Linked DNA regions of Ovis aries. The protein of the gene in region 2 purifies or fractionates together with the protein of the main gene of each other region. This does not show direct contact. Links are inferred from orthologs where the notes say so. Each region holds a gene or a part of one and is shown on either strand. Other genes may lie near its edges.

Evidence for each region.
Region 1: the proteins of CUEDC1 (region 2) and SMURF2 purify together in Homo sapiens (co-immunoprecipitation; 3 studies listed by BioGRID and IntAct, with this or other methods). This does not show direct contact. The link is inferred for Ovis aries from reciprocal best matches to the Homo sapiens genes CUEDC1 and SMURF2.

The regions. Positions count from the first base shown.
Region 1 is NC_056064.1:48,467,656-48,473,383, reverse strand, and holds part of SMURF2 (E3 ubiquitin-protein ligase SMURF2), read left to right. Parts: intron 1-873; coding exon 874-1,066; intron 1,067-2,348; coding exon 2,349-2,452; intron 2,453-4,715; coding exon 4,716-4,830; intron 4,831-5,728. UniProt on the Homo sapiens protein: E3 ubiquitin-protein ligase which accepts ubiquitin from an E2 ubiquitin-conjugating enzyme in the form of a thioester and then directly transfers the ubiquitin to targeted substrates.
Region 2 is NC_056064.1:8,368,586-8,374,313, reverse strand, and holds part of CUEDC1 (CUE domain-containing protein 1), read left to right. Parts: intron 1-1,913; coding exon 1,914-2,040; intron 2,041-2,750; coding exon 2,751-2,943; intron 2,944-3,998; coding exon 3,999-4,079; intron 4,080-5,728.

The sequences.
Region 1 (5,728 bases), about 40 Mb from region 2:
AAAAAAAATTCTTAGATGCAGCTTACAGTATTTTTGTCAGGAGAATAAATATATCTCTAGGCAATGTGCCTTCTAAAAATTATGTTTCTGCTATACTTGGGAGATTATTTTTGTGTATTTGTGGTAAACTGTATATGCAGTTCGAAGTCACTTCAGCATAAGAGACAATGTGAATGTACTTAATGCCAGTGACTGTAATACTTAAAAATGGTTAAAATGGTAAATTTTATGTGTGTTTTACCACAGTAAAAAGATAAGGACTTCCTTAGTGGTCCCCTGGCTAAGACTCCATGCTTCTTCTGCAGGGGACACAGATTTGATCCCTGGTCAAGGAACTAAGGTCCTGCATGCCACACTGCATGCCCCCCCCAAAAAAATAAAGAAGGAAAGAAAAGAAAAATAGTCACTTTATAAAGCATTTAGACTTGTTTGTAAAGTGCTCATTTCTCTGTAACTTCCCACATTCCTGTGGTCTAGACTGTAGCATGCATAGGAGAAGGGGTCCTGCCAAACTGCCAGTTCCAACTGTTTGTTTCTTTCAGAGAGACGGACTCTAGATAACAGGCGCAGGGTTTGGCATGCGCCTGAATTTTGAAGTGAGAGCTGGTAAACTGAGTGGAGGAAAATGGAAACAGTACTTGAGAAAGTTGCTCTAAGCAGCTGTATAAAGCTTTTTGGATAAAACTCTCATTGTCCACTTCCATAAATTCTAAGAAATAAACTCTGGAGCCAGTTTATTGTTGTCAGAAATGTCAAGCTAAGACTAAAATAAGGCCTCGAAATAATATAGACTTGGTTTAGCATGCAGTGCTATTTTAAATGTGTGATTGCAGTCTTATAAAAGACTCTCTACTAATGTTTGCTTACTTGTAGTCGGCAGAACCAACTGAAAGACCAGCAGCAGCAGGTGGTGTCGTTGTGCCCTGATGACACAGAGTGTCTGACAGTCCCACGGTACAAGCGCGACCTAGTTCAGAAGCTGAAGATTCTGCGGCAGGAACTTTCCCAGCAACAGCCTCAGGCTGGCCATTGCCGCATTGAGGTTTCCAGGGAAGAGATTTTTGAGGTAAACGTACAAGTCTGATTTTAATATAGAGAAAGTTTAAATTCCAGTGATGAACTTGTTTTCCAAGTATATATTGGGACTCAGTCTCTTTAAGGGCTTCCCTGGTAGCTCAGACGGGAAAGAATCCGCCTGTAATGTGGGAGGACCTGGGTTTGATCCCTTCGTAGGGAAGATCCCCTAGAGAAGGGAATGGTTACCTACTCCAATATTCTTGCTTGGAGAATTCCATGGACAGAGGAGCCTGGCAGGCTACAGTCCATGGCGTCGCAGAGTCAGACACGACTGAGCGACTTCCACTTTAATCTCTTTAAAATGGGAGAATTTTCATTAATTTCTCTTCTTACTTGTGGGGAGTAAAGGCAGTAGTATTGAAGAGATTTCATATATAAGATAAACATTTGAATGGGATGAAGTGTGAGAGGTTCTGATGGGTAAAGCTTGGTCCCTGCATTGCAGATACTGATTTGTTCATGAATTTTAAAAGACCACAGATATTATCCATCCCTTATTTTTTAATTCTTCCGAAAGGTAAGGGACTGTTTGATAAAAAAAATCGTTTTGTCTAAATACTGTTGGACTGCTTCCTTAATTTATTGAAAATCTTCCTTTCTGGTATGTCCTTTTCTCTCTCGATTTTATAGCTCTAATAGCAGCTTCAGTGTTCTTACATAATAAGTGGCAAGAGGTCCAAGGCAGGACTTGCCCACTTATTAGAGGGTTCCAGGGCAAGAGATGTTTGGGGACTTCATAATCCTTCTCCCAAAGGATGAACTTTTTTCTCTCAGAACAGTTCTGACCTTGTTTGTACTCAGCCCTTCGTAATGTTAAAATAATGTAAAGTTGTCAGTGTAGTGAGGAGTACATTTAACAATTACTTAACGTTCTTTGAAACTTTCTGCTTCTTACCTTTACTTTCTGGTGGAATCTGTCACTTGGATGAGGTCGACTAACTTTAAAAATGTGGTACTTCTGTCAGATTGTGTTTTTTTATGTGGTATCATTGCTATAGTTAATAGGACTTAAATATGGAGTCTTTAGTAGGTTTTTAATATGTCTATCAAAGGATAATGTCTATCAAAGGAATTGATTTCAGTAGTATTAAACTATATCTGTTTTAAGTTCCATGAGGTTCCAAACACTTGGAGTTGATCCGTTGATTTGATTGTTGAACACATTCCACCTTATTTAAATAAACATATGTTTCGTAGGTGGAATGGGAAGGAGAGTTTAAACAGGAGTTAAAAACACGTAGTAATAATAGTATATTAAACATTTTTTTCAGGAATCATATCGACAGGTCATGAAAATGAGACCGAAAGATCTCTGGAAGCGATTAATGATAAAATTTCGTGGAGAAGAAGGCCTTGACTATGGAGGGGTTGCCAGGTAAAGACATACTTGGCAGTAAATGACTAATAGATCCTTATATTTGCAAATTAGATACTCTCTGTGGTGTAACCTTCTCATTGGTATTTAGTTTCTAACATAATGTTACCTAATGTCTGCAGTATGGAGGATACCCTAGTACATACATTCATAATGAAGTTATTTTGTAGCACTGCTGCCAGTGGAGTATTTGTGAACTCCCTAACGGATCATATCTTCCAGTGAGACTTTCTCTGAAAACTAGCTGCAACCCTACGTGGACTATTGGTAGGGCCTATAGGCCTGATATTTTCTCCATTTCTCTCCTTCAGTACATGCTCTTCCCTCTGCTTTACATTGTCAGGGACAGTCTTGAGATTTTAATGATGTGTATTCTAAACTGAATACTGTTTCCCTTTGCTTCCATTGCCATGCTTTTTAACCTTGTTAAAGGAATGTTTGTGTCTGAAAGTATGTGTATATATCATAAATTCTCCATAGAATATTTCAGTACATTCAGTATGTTTCTGCTGCATTCATACATCAAGTATTTTGTTTCCAGGTGTGAGAATTCACTATATATAAATGCAGCAGAAACATTATAGCTTCTTTGTTAAAACATTTTAAGGGCCATCATGATAATTCTGTCTCCCCTAATCTAAATCCAGCCTAAATGAAATTTGTGTTTCCACCAGGTCCCATAATTGCCAGTTGGCATTACTTGTTTTTACCTGTAAACTTTTTCTGTGACCCTTTTACTTGCAAATGGATAGTTTCCTTAGTTTGGATTTTTAGAATTGATCACTGTGCATGCATGCTCAGTTGTGTCCAACTCTTTGCAATCCCATGGCCTGGAGCCCACCAGGCTCCTCTGTCCATGGGGATTTCCCAGGCAAGAATACTGGAGTGGGTTGCCATTTCCTTCTCCAGAGGATCCTCCCAACCCAGGGACTGAACCTGAGTCTCCTGCTTGGCAGGCAGATTGTTTACCACTGAACCACCAGGGAAGCCTTTAAAAAACACATATATGCATAAAAATAATACAAGACATATTAGGTGTGAAAGTTGCTTATTGGAGATCTCACTTTTTAATTTATAGACTTTTCAAGTATTAAACATAATGATTTGATTTAGACTCCATCAAATGATAGAACTTTGAAATGTTTTCCTTTAACTATTTTAATAGTGTTTCACTGCATTTCCTAAAATTATATTATTCCCCTGTTTAATCCATAATATCAGAGTATACCACTTACATGCCTTTCCTAGCTGAGGAATGACAGGAGTTGAGACTCGGACGTCACCTTAAGTTCTAGACTAGTGATTGTATTTCTGTCTCACCAAGATAAGAAGTGGTCTTTCATACTTTGAAAAATGTAAATGATTTAATCAGTTTAAGGTGATAGAACTGGTTATTATAGGTTTTAAAAACACTGATGTATGCTTAAACCAAGAAGTGGGATGAAACATCCCCAGGAAGTGCTGGCCTGCCCTTTCATTCCCACTTAGACCACAGGCCTTGGTAGTTTCTCACCATGTACATGTTTATCATGGTTATTCTAGGGTTTACACAAAACAGACAGTGGAAATGGATAGTGAAATTTTCTTACTAAAACCATACCAACAATAAGACATGAATTAGTTATGTGTGAATGTTATATGTTGTATAAACTAGTATAAAACTGCCACGATTGGAGAGGATCAGGGTGCTATGGATGGGACCACATGGAGGTTTCGAAATAAAACCATATTCTTCCCTTCATTTTATATTTATCATGGATCACAAATTTCTTTAGCAATTGAAAGTAACAGACCACTGGGCTGCAGCATCTGATAGTACTTCTGGATATTATTATATTCGCTGATGTTAAAATGTCGTAAAATTACCTAAAATTGAGTGAGACATGAGTTCAGTATAATAAAACAAGGGTTTTTCATTTACTTTGGGGCATGGTAGATGATGATTCTTTTAAATTTTTAATTGGAGGATAATTGCTTTACCATGTTGGTTGGTTTCTGCCATACAGCAACAGAAATCAGCCATAGGTATACTATCTCCTCTTGAACCTCCCTCCCATCCCCCACTTTGTCCCACCCCTCTAGGTTGTCACAGGGCATGGGGTTGAGCTCCATGGGTTAGTATACTTTTCTAAAGTGATCTTACATAACTAGTTACTCGTGCTTTATTTTATTAAAAACTTCTTTGCTAACATTAATTAATAGCATATCTTAGTAAAAGTATATTTATTAACAAAAAATTCCTGTGGCATATCTTGTTTTTTAGGGAGTGGTTATATCTCTTGTCACATGAAATGCTGAATCCTTATTATGGCCTCTTCCAGTATTCAAGAGATGATATCTATACATTGCAGATCAATCCTGATTCTGCAGTTAATCCGGTATGATTGATGGTTATAATGATATGAACTGACTTATGACCTACAATGTTTTTTCATCTTTAAATGTCAGTGTAGTCTATGACATAGGTTTGTTGGCTTTGTTGAAGTCACATCCTTGGACTTGGCAAGTCCTCTTTTAAGTTTTTCTTAGATAAGTGATGATGAGTGGATGCATCAGTTGGGCCCAGGGAGGTTTACCGAATCACTGTTTACAGTAGCCCCAACTGGAAGTAACATTGCTGTCCACAAGAGGGAGTGATTAAATTATGACATGAAGCAGCATGACGTGGTTAAGAGCTTAGACTCTGGAATTAGACATGAGAACATATCCTGGTCCTGTTACTAACTAGCTTTGTGACTTTCATTGACTTAAGCCTCAGTGATAAAATATATAATTTGAACCTGAGAGAAGGGTTGTGACTGTTAAATGAGACCCTGAACAGTGCTATACGTTATTAACCCTATTACATATTATTAAGTACTCAGCAAGAGTTAGCAGCTGTTACTAATTTGTTGGTTTTATAGTATTTCTATTATCTTTCCATACAAGGGTATATTATAGAGCCCCTAAAATGATGTTGCGGGATAATGGATAATGATACGTAAAGATAGTATTTGTAATATATTAGGTGAAAAAAAGATAATGAAATAGAATGATGCAACTTTGGTAAACATACATATGCGTGAGAACATTGAAAAGATCCACACTGTAGTATTTACAGTGGTTATCTCTGAGTGTTAAGACTATGAGCTTTTTTTCATTGTCTGTATTTTCTAAATATTTTGTAGTGAACAGGTACTGCTTTTTTAAAAGAAAAGTGCTATTTGTAAGATAAAAGGGAGGCTTAAAGGTGAGCTTAGGGATTGTTAAACAGAGAAGTAAAAGAAGTTTAAAATA
Region 2 (5,728 bases):
TCTCCTGAATGAAAGACTACTCTGAAGCCCCAGCACCCCTCCTTACAGGCCACCTGCTGTTCTTCTGTTGAAATTACAGCCTTGGAAGTTTTCGTTTGCCTCTCAGCTCATTTCTGACATTCCTTTCCGACCACAATGGAGTTGCCTGGCCCAGCCTGTGCTCAGGGTCCCCCCTGGCTCTTGCAGCTGTGGGCTGACCTCATCTCAGCCCGAGCCAGGGCAGGGGGATGGGCCCACCCCCCGCTCCAGGACCGTGGGCCCAGCATCCAAGGACCCTCAGCCTCCAGCTCCTTGTCCCCCTCCTGACTTGGGTGCTCAGTAACAAATGTCTACAGGGGGCTGGCTGCAACTCTGGGGCACTCTCCAGGGCTTTCCTGGGTAACTCTGGGTGTGGTTGAGGAGGGGTGGGCACCCATGGCCCAGTGAGGACCCTGAAACCACAGGAAGGGTGGTGAGGCTGGAGGCGATTTCTCCAGGGTGTCGTGGAGTGGGGGGTGGGAGATGGTCTGGCCCTTGGAGCAAAATGAAGTTGCCAGCTCTGTCGGGAGGCAGAGGAGTGATGGAGCAGAAAATATGCCCGGGATTCGGAGTCCCGGGCTGTGATGCCGGCACCCCCTCCCCCCGCCCTCTGGAACAGCGAGAGGGGCCCGGGGTTCCCTGGCTGCCGTCTGGAGCTGCGCTCCCACCACGCACTTAGCAGCTTGTTATCCTGTCTGCTGCCGCCCCCGCCCTTCCCCCTGGGCCGCCAGGCCACCCGCCCAAAATAGAAAAGGAAAGGAAGTTATTTCCATCGTCAGTGGCAGCCCGGAAAAGCTCCCCTCCAGTGAGTGGGCGGGCGGGATTCCTGGAGCTGGAGACCAAATCAAAGCCGGCCCCGCGAGAGCGGCCCCCACCGCCCCCGGCCCTGGCCTGCCTTCGCTGTGTGTCATTTCCCTGATTCAGCAGAACACGTGTTCTGCGGTTGCCACGCTGCAGGCCGCCGGGGAGCTGTGGGGAGCTCCTGGCCCGGCCCCAGGCTGCCGTCGGGCCCGGACGGCGGGGCAGGAGGCCGGGGGGGTCAGGGCGGACACGTGCCCAAGGCCCCCTTCCTAGCCCCCCTCCCGCTGTGGCCTCTGCCTGAGGCCAGGAGAGCAGCCCCTGCCAGTCCCATCCTTAGTGTGACCTTCCAGCTGCCGGTCAAGGCAGCTTCGTGAGGGGCTCCCACACACCAGAGCAGGGTGGCAGTGGTTTGCAGGTGAGGGGAAAGCCCCACAGGGGATAGGTCTCCCCTGGGACCACCCACCAGGTCTGGAGCCTGGGTCTGCTTGCCCTCTAGAGACCCTGGTGTCTCCGTGTCTCCTGATTCCAGCAAACCAACACTGGGGAAGGCTGGGCTGTCAGCCACTCTAGGTGTCTCTTCCCTGGGAACACACCTATCACTCAGCACCCAGGAGCTTGTGTTATCCTGGATGCTAGAGACAGAAGGCTGAAGGGCTGTGACCCCTGCATCTGTGTCCACATCCACAGCACCCAACATGAGCTCTGCCAACGCAGGCCAGAGACCTTTTGTTTGTTTGGCCAAGACACGCATGGCGTCTCACCTCCCTGACTTGGGATTGAATCTGCACCCCGTGCGTTGGAAGGTGAAGTCATGGCGCCTGGACTGCCAGGGAAGCCCCTAGGCCCAGAGACTTTGCAGACACCGGGTGGCTGGAAGCAGTGAGTGTCTGGCGCAGTAGGCGTCCAGGCCCAGAGGTGAGGGCTCAGCCAAGGCCTGGCTGAAAGGGGAGCTAGGGGGCTGGGCCTCCGTGCTGGAGGCGGCTGGAAGCTTGGGCACGTGGGTGCCATTCTGAGCAGGATCCCAGGGTGGTGGGCCAGGACACCTGTGTGTGGGCCTGACTGTTCCCTCCTCATCCTCACCTGTCGCCCTCCAGCATCGACGTGCTGGGCTCCGTGCCCCCTTCCAGCCAGAGGCGCTACCGCAACTGGAACCCCCCACTGTTGGGCAACCTCCCCGAAGACTTTCTCCGCATCCTGCCCCAGCAGCTGGACAGCATACAGGTAATGGGGGTGCCCCCGCCCCCAGCCTGTGCAGCGTCTCTCTGTTCGCGCCAGTCACTGACCCTCCCTGACGTTTAAGCCCAGGCTAAGCTGCCCTGGGGTGGTACGGAAAGAAGGCTGAGCCAAAAGCCTCCTTCCCCATCGGGGCCTGTAAGGTTTCCCCTTCCGCTTAGGAAGGGGACCGCCCTGAGGATACTCTCTGGCAAATGGCATCACCCTAGGGTGGCAGGAGTTGGGCAGGGGCAGGGTGGGGGGTCACTCAGTGACAGAAAGGCAGAGCACCTTCCTTCCTTCCTTCCTTCCCCGGGGAGAGGGCCAGGGTGCTTCTCGCCAGAGGCTGGCCCTTGCAAGCAGTCTCCTCTGAGATGGCCAGGACAAGGAAAGTATGAGTATGGGGACTCTGAGCCATTTGAAGATCACTCTTCAGGACTATTCAGGTTTTGACGAAGGGCATGCTGGTGGGAAGGTCCAAGGTGTCAAGCTGGGGAGGTGGAGAGTAGTTCCTAAGCCCCTGATGCTTCCTCAGCACAGAGGGCTCTGGTCTGTTACGTTGAGTCTTGGCTAACAGCTCGCTCTGGGTGGAGGAGGTCCTGGCCTCAGGGCGTGGCTGCAGCATCCCGGGAAGGACGCTTGTACCCCCGGTGCGCATGGGTGTTGGTGCGGCGTGCGCCCTTGTGAGTAGGGGGTCCGTGTGCTTGCTCCCTGCTCAGGCCACCTCCAGGGGCTCCAAGCTCGCAAGCACGGAGGGAAGCCTGCCGCCCGTGGCGGGGCCTGAGCCCCGGGACCAGGAGAGCCGCTGGAAGCAGTACCTGGAGGACGAGAGGATCGCGCTCTTCCTGCAGAACGAGGAGTTCATGAAGGAGCTGCAGCGCAACCGGGACTTCCTGCTCGCCCTGGAGAGAGGTGGTGCCCTGGGCCAGGGCAGCCGGGCCGGGGCGAGGGGTGTCGGCCGTAGCCTGGGGCTCCGAGCCGGAGGTCTGAGTTGTCCAGGAGAAAGTATGAAAGCGTGAGTCGCTCAGTCATGTCGCTCTTTGCGACCGCATGGACTGTAGCCCACCAGGCTCCTCTGTCCATGGGATTCTCCAGGCAAGAGTACTGGAGTTGCCCTGCCCTCCTCCAGGAGATCTTCCCTACCCAGGGATGGAACCCACGTCTCTCATGTCTCCTGCACTGGCAGGCAGGTTCTTTACGCCTAGCGCTGCCTGGGAAGCAGAGTTCTGCTCACAGGGACCTGAGTCATCGGGACTTAGCGGGAGTGCGGGGCGCCCTCTGGGCTCTGCCCCTCCTTGCGCCCCCGCACTTCTGCTCTGTGCCAGGCGCTGGCGGCTGCCCTGTGCGACGGGAGCTCCAGCAGTAGAGGGACTGTGTGGCTGGGTGCCAGGGTGCGTTCCTCCCTGAGCCGAGGACGTTAGAGCAGGGCCTCTGGAGGGTTTGGGGGTGTTGGGGTTGTTTCTGGGCCAAGGATCCTACTCCTCCTAGCCTGGCTGCCTTCCCCCTTTAGAGTGGTAAGGTTTGGGGTGGCGCACAGTGAGGGGCCTGTGGGAGAGAGGTGTTGTGTGTACACGTGTGTGTGACTGGCAGTGTGTTTTGGTCAGGAACATGGTGTGCAGGGGAAAGTCTGGCCTGAGACAGAGGAGCCGAAGGCTGGTCCCAGCTCTGCAGTAAAGATGCTGGTGGGAGTCTCCAGGCCTTTCCTTTTAGATGAAGGGCTGGACACTCCAGTTTCTCAGGGGCCTGTTAATTTTGACATTCTCACCTTCCAGGCAGTGCTTTCTGTGTCTTTGAGAGTTCTGGTTCTTTGAGAGCCCATAGGTGTCGCGTGTGCACGTGTGTGTGTGTGTGTGTGTGTGTGTGTGTGTGTGTGTGTGTTTCTCAGGGTTTGGCCTCCAACCACCTCTCAGCTCAGGCGGCCCTGGGTGTGAGCTAGCTTCCCTGACCAGACTGTGGGCCTTTTCCAGATCGACTGAAATACGAGTCCCAGAAATCATCCAGCAGCGTGGCCGTGGGAAATGACTTTGACTTCCCCTCTCCTGTCCCAGGTAACCTTGCCTGAGAGAGAGAGAGAGAGAGAGAGAGAGAGAGAGAGGGGCCTGGAGGGTGTGGGGGGCTCACAGCCCAGGGGTGTCTGCATATTTGGAGTTTGGAGAGAGGGTGGGGAACAGGCTGCAGAGGATGGTTTTGCCCTATCAGCATATGCCCGAGAGGGGTGAGACGGGCCCTCCCCTCGGCAGCCCTGGTTCCTGCCAACCCAGCGGCTGATGAAGCCCTCACCTGGGGCAGGCCTGCAGACTCGCTCCACTCCTTAGAGGCACTTGGAGCCTGGGCAAGAAGGGGACACAGCACACCACATAATGTCCCATAGGGTGCCGGGGCTGGCAAGGGACTCAGAGACCCAGGCACTGCCCCAGGGGAGCTTATGGTCTTGTGGGGAGTGCAGGAGATGCCTCCAAGAAACAGGGAGCCCGAACCAGCAAAGCTGAGGACGCTTGTTAATTATAGCAAGCACATGCTGGGGGACAGGGAGGGTCCATCTGGGGAAGGTTCATTCATTCATTCGGTAGCTGGGGACTGTCTCCCCCAGGCCAGGCCCAGCCTTAGTATTGGAAGAAGAGAATTTTGAAAGTTTTATATACAAGACGGGGAGAAGCAGGAATTGCCCAAGCGGCTGAAGGAGGGCCCGGGGTGGACGGCAGGCTACTAGGCTGCACGGATGGGGGTGGAGCTGGAGCTGGGGACCCCTCGAGAGCCCCGGTTCCACTCTCGACATCTAGACTGTGTGTGTGTGTGTACAGTGGCCCTGGTCAGTACCCGCCACGCACACACGGGCCTCCTGCCTCAGAGGAAGAATGTGCAGCTTTTGCCCCAAACAGATCTTGCATTGAGTGGTGGAGTGGGGGAGGGGGGCAGAAGGAGGGGGACTCAGTTGATCCCAGCCTGGAGAGAGAAAATCCCATGGAACTGATTCATAAGCAACAGGCTGGGAGCTTAGGCCCCACCAGATGTGCAGCGGGGGGTTTAACGGCAGCCACATGTCCTTGATCCCGAATTAACCATAGACACCGGGATGGCTGAGATGGATCAGAATGACTCACAGGGACTTAGTGGACAAGGTGACTCGGGATTAGCGTGGGGACCTCAGGAAGGCAGTGAAGGACCCAGGTGGGTGCTGAGTGATCCGGGAGACTCTGGCCGGCCAGCTGGGTTCTGACTTAGGGACTCACCCCACTCTCATTCCTGCTTATGGTCTAACGAGTCAGAAACCCGTGTCTGGGGGAGTCATGGAGAGGTGGACCCTGGCCAGGGGAGAAGGGCATCCCCATGGCGGGGGCCTGCTGTGCACCCTGAGCCTCCGTCCACTGCCGTGTTGATTCTCACACTGCGTCAGGACGCAGGCCAGCCAGCCACACGTGGGTGAACTTTCAACAGCCTGCAGGGGTGCGGGGGAGCCCCGGGGCCTAGCATCTGGTAGCTTCCATGGTGTGAACACTCCAGTCACAGCTGATTTCAAGCTCCCAAGGAGCCTTCACGGGACACGAAGTGGTCAGAGGAGCAGAATTGGGAGCCGGCCCTCCACACAGAATCTTTACAGAAAAGGGCCAAGTGAGACTTGGATGAGGAAGGAAGCAAATGCTCTTTGAAGCCTAGTGTGACTCCCTGCCTGAAGCTCCCTCCGGGTTAGGGAGGAAGC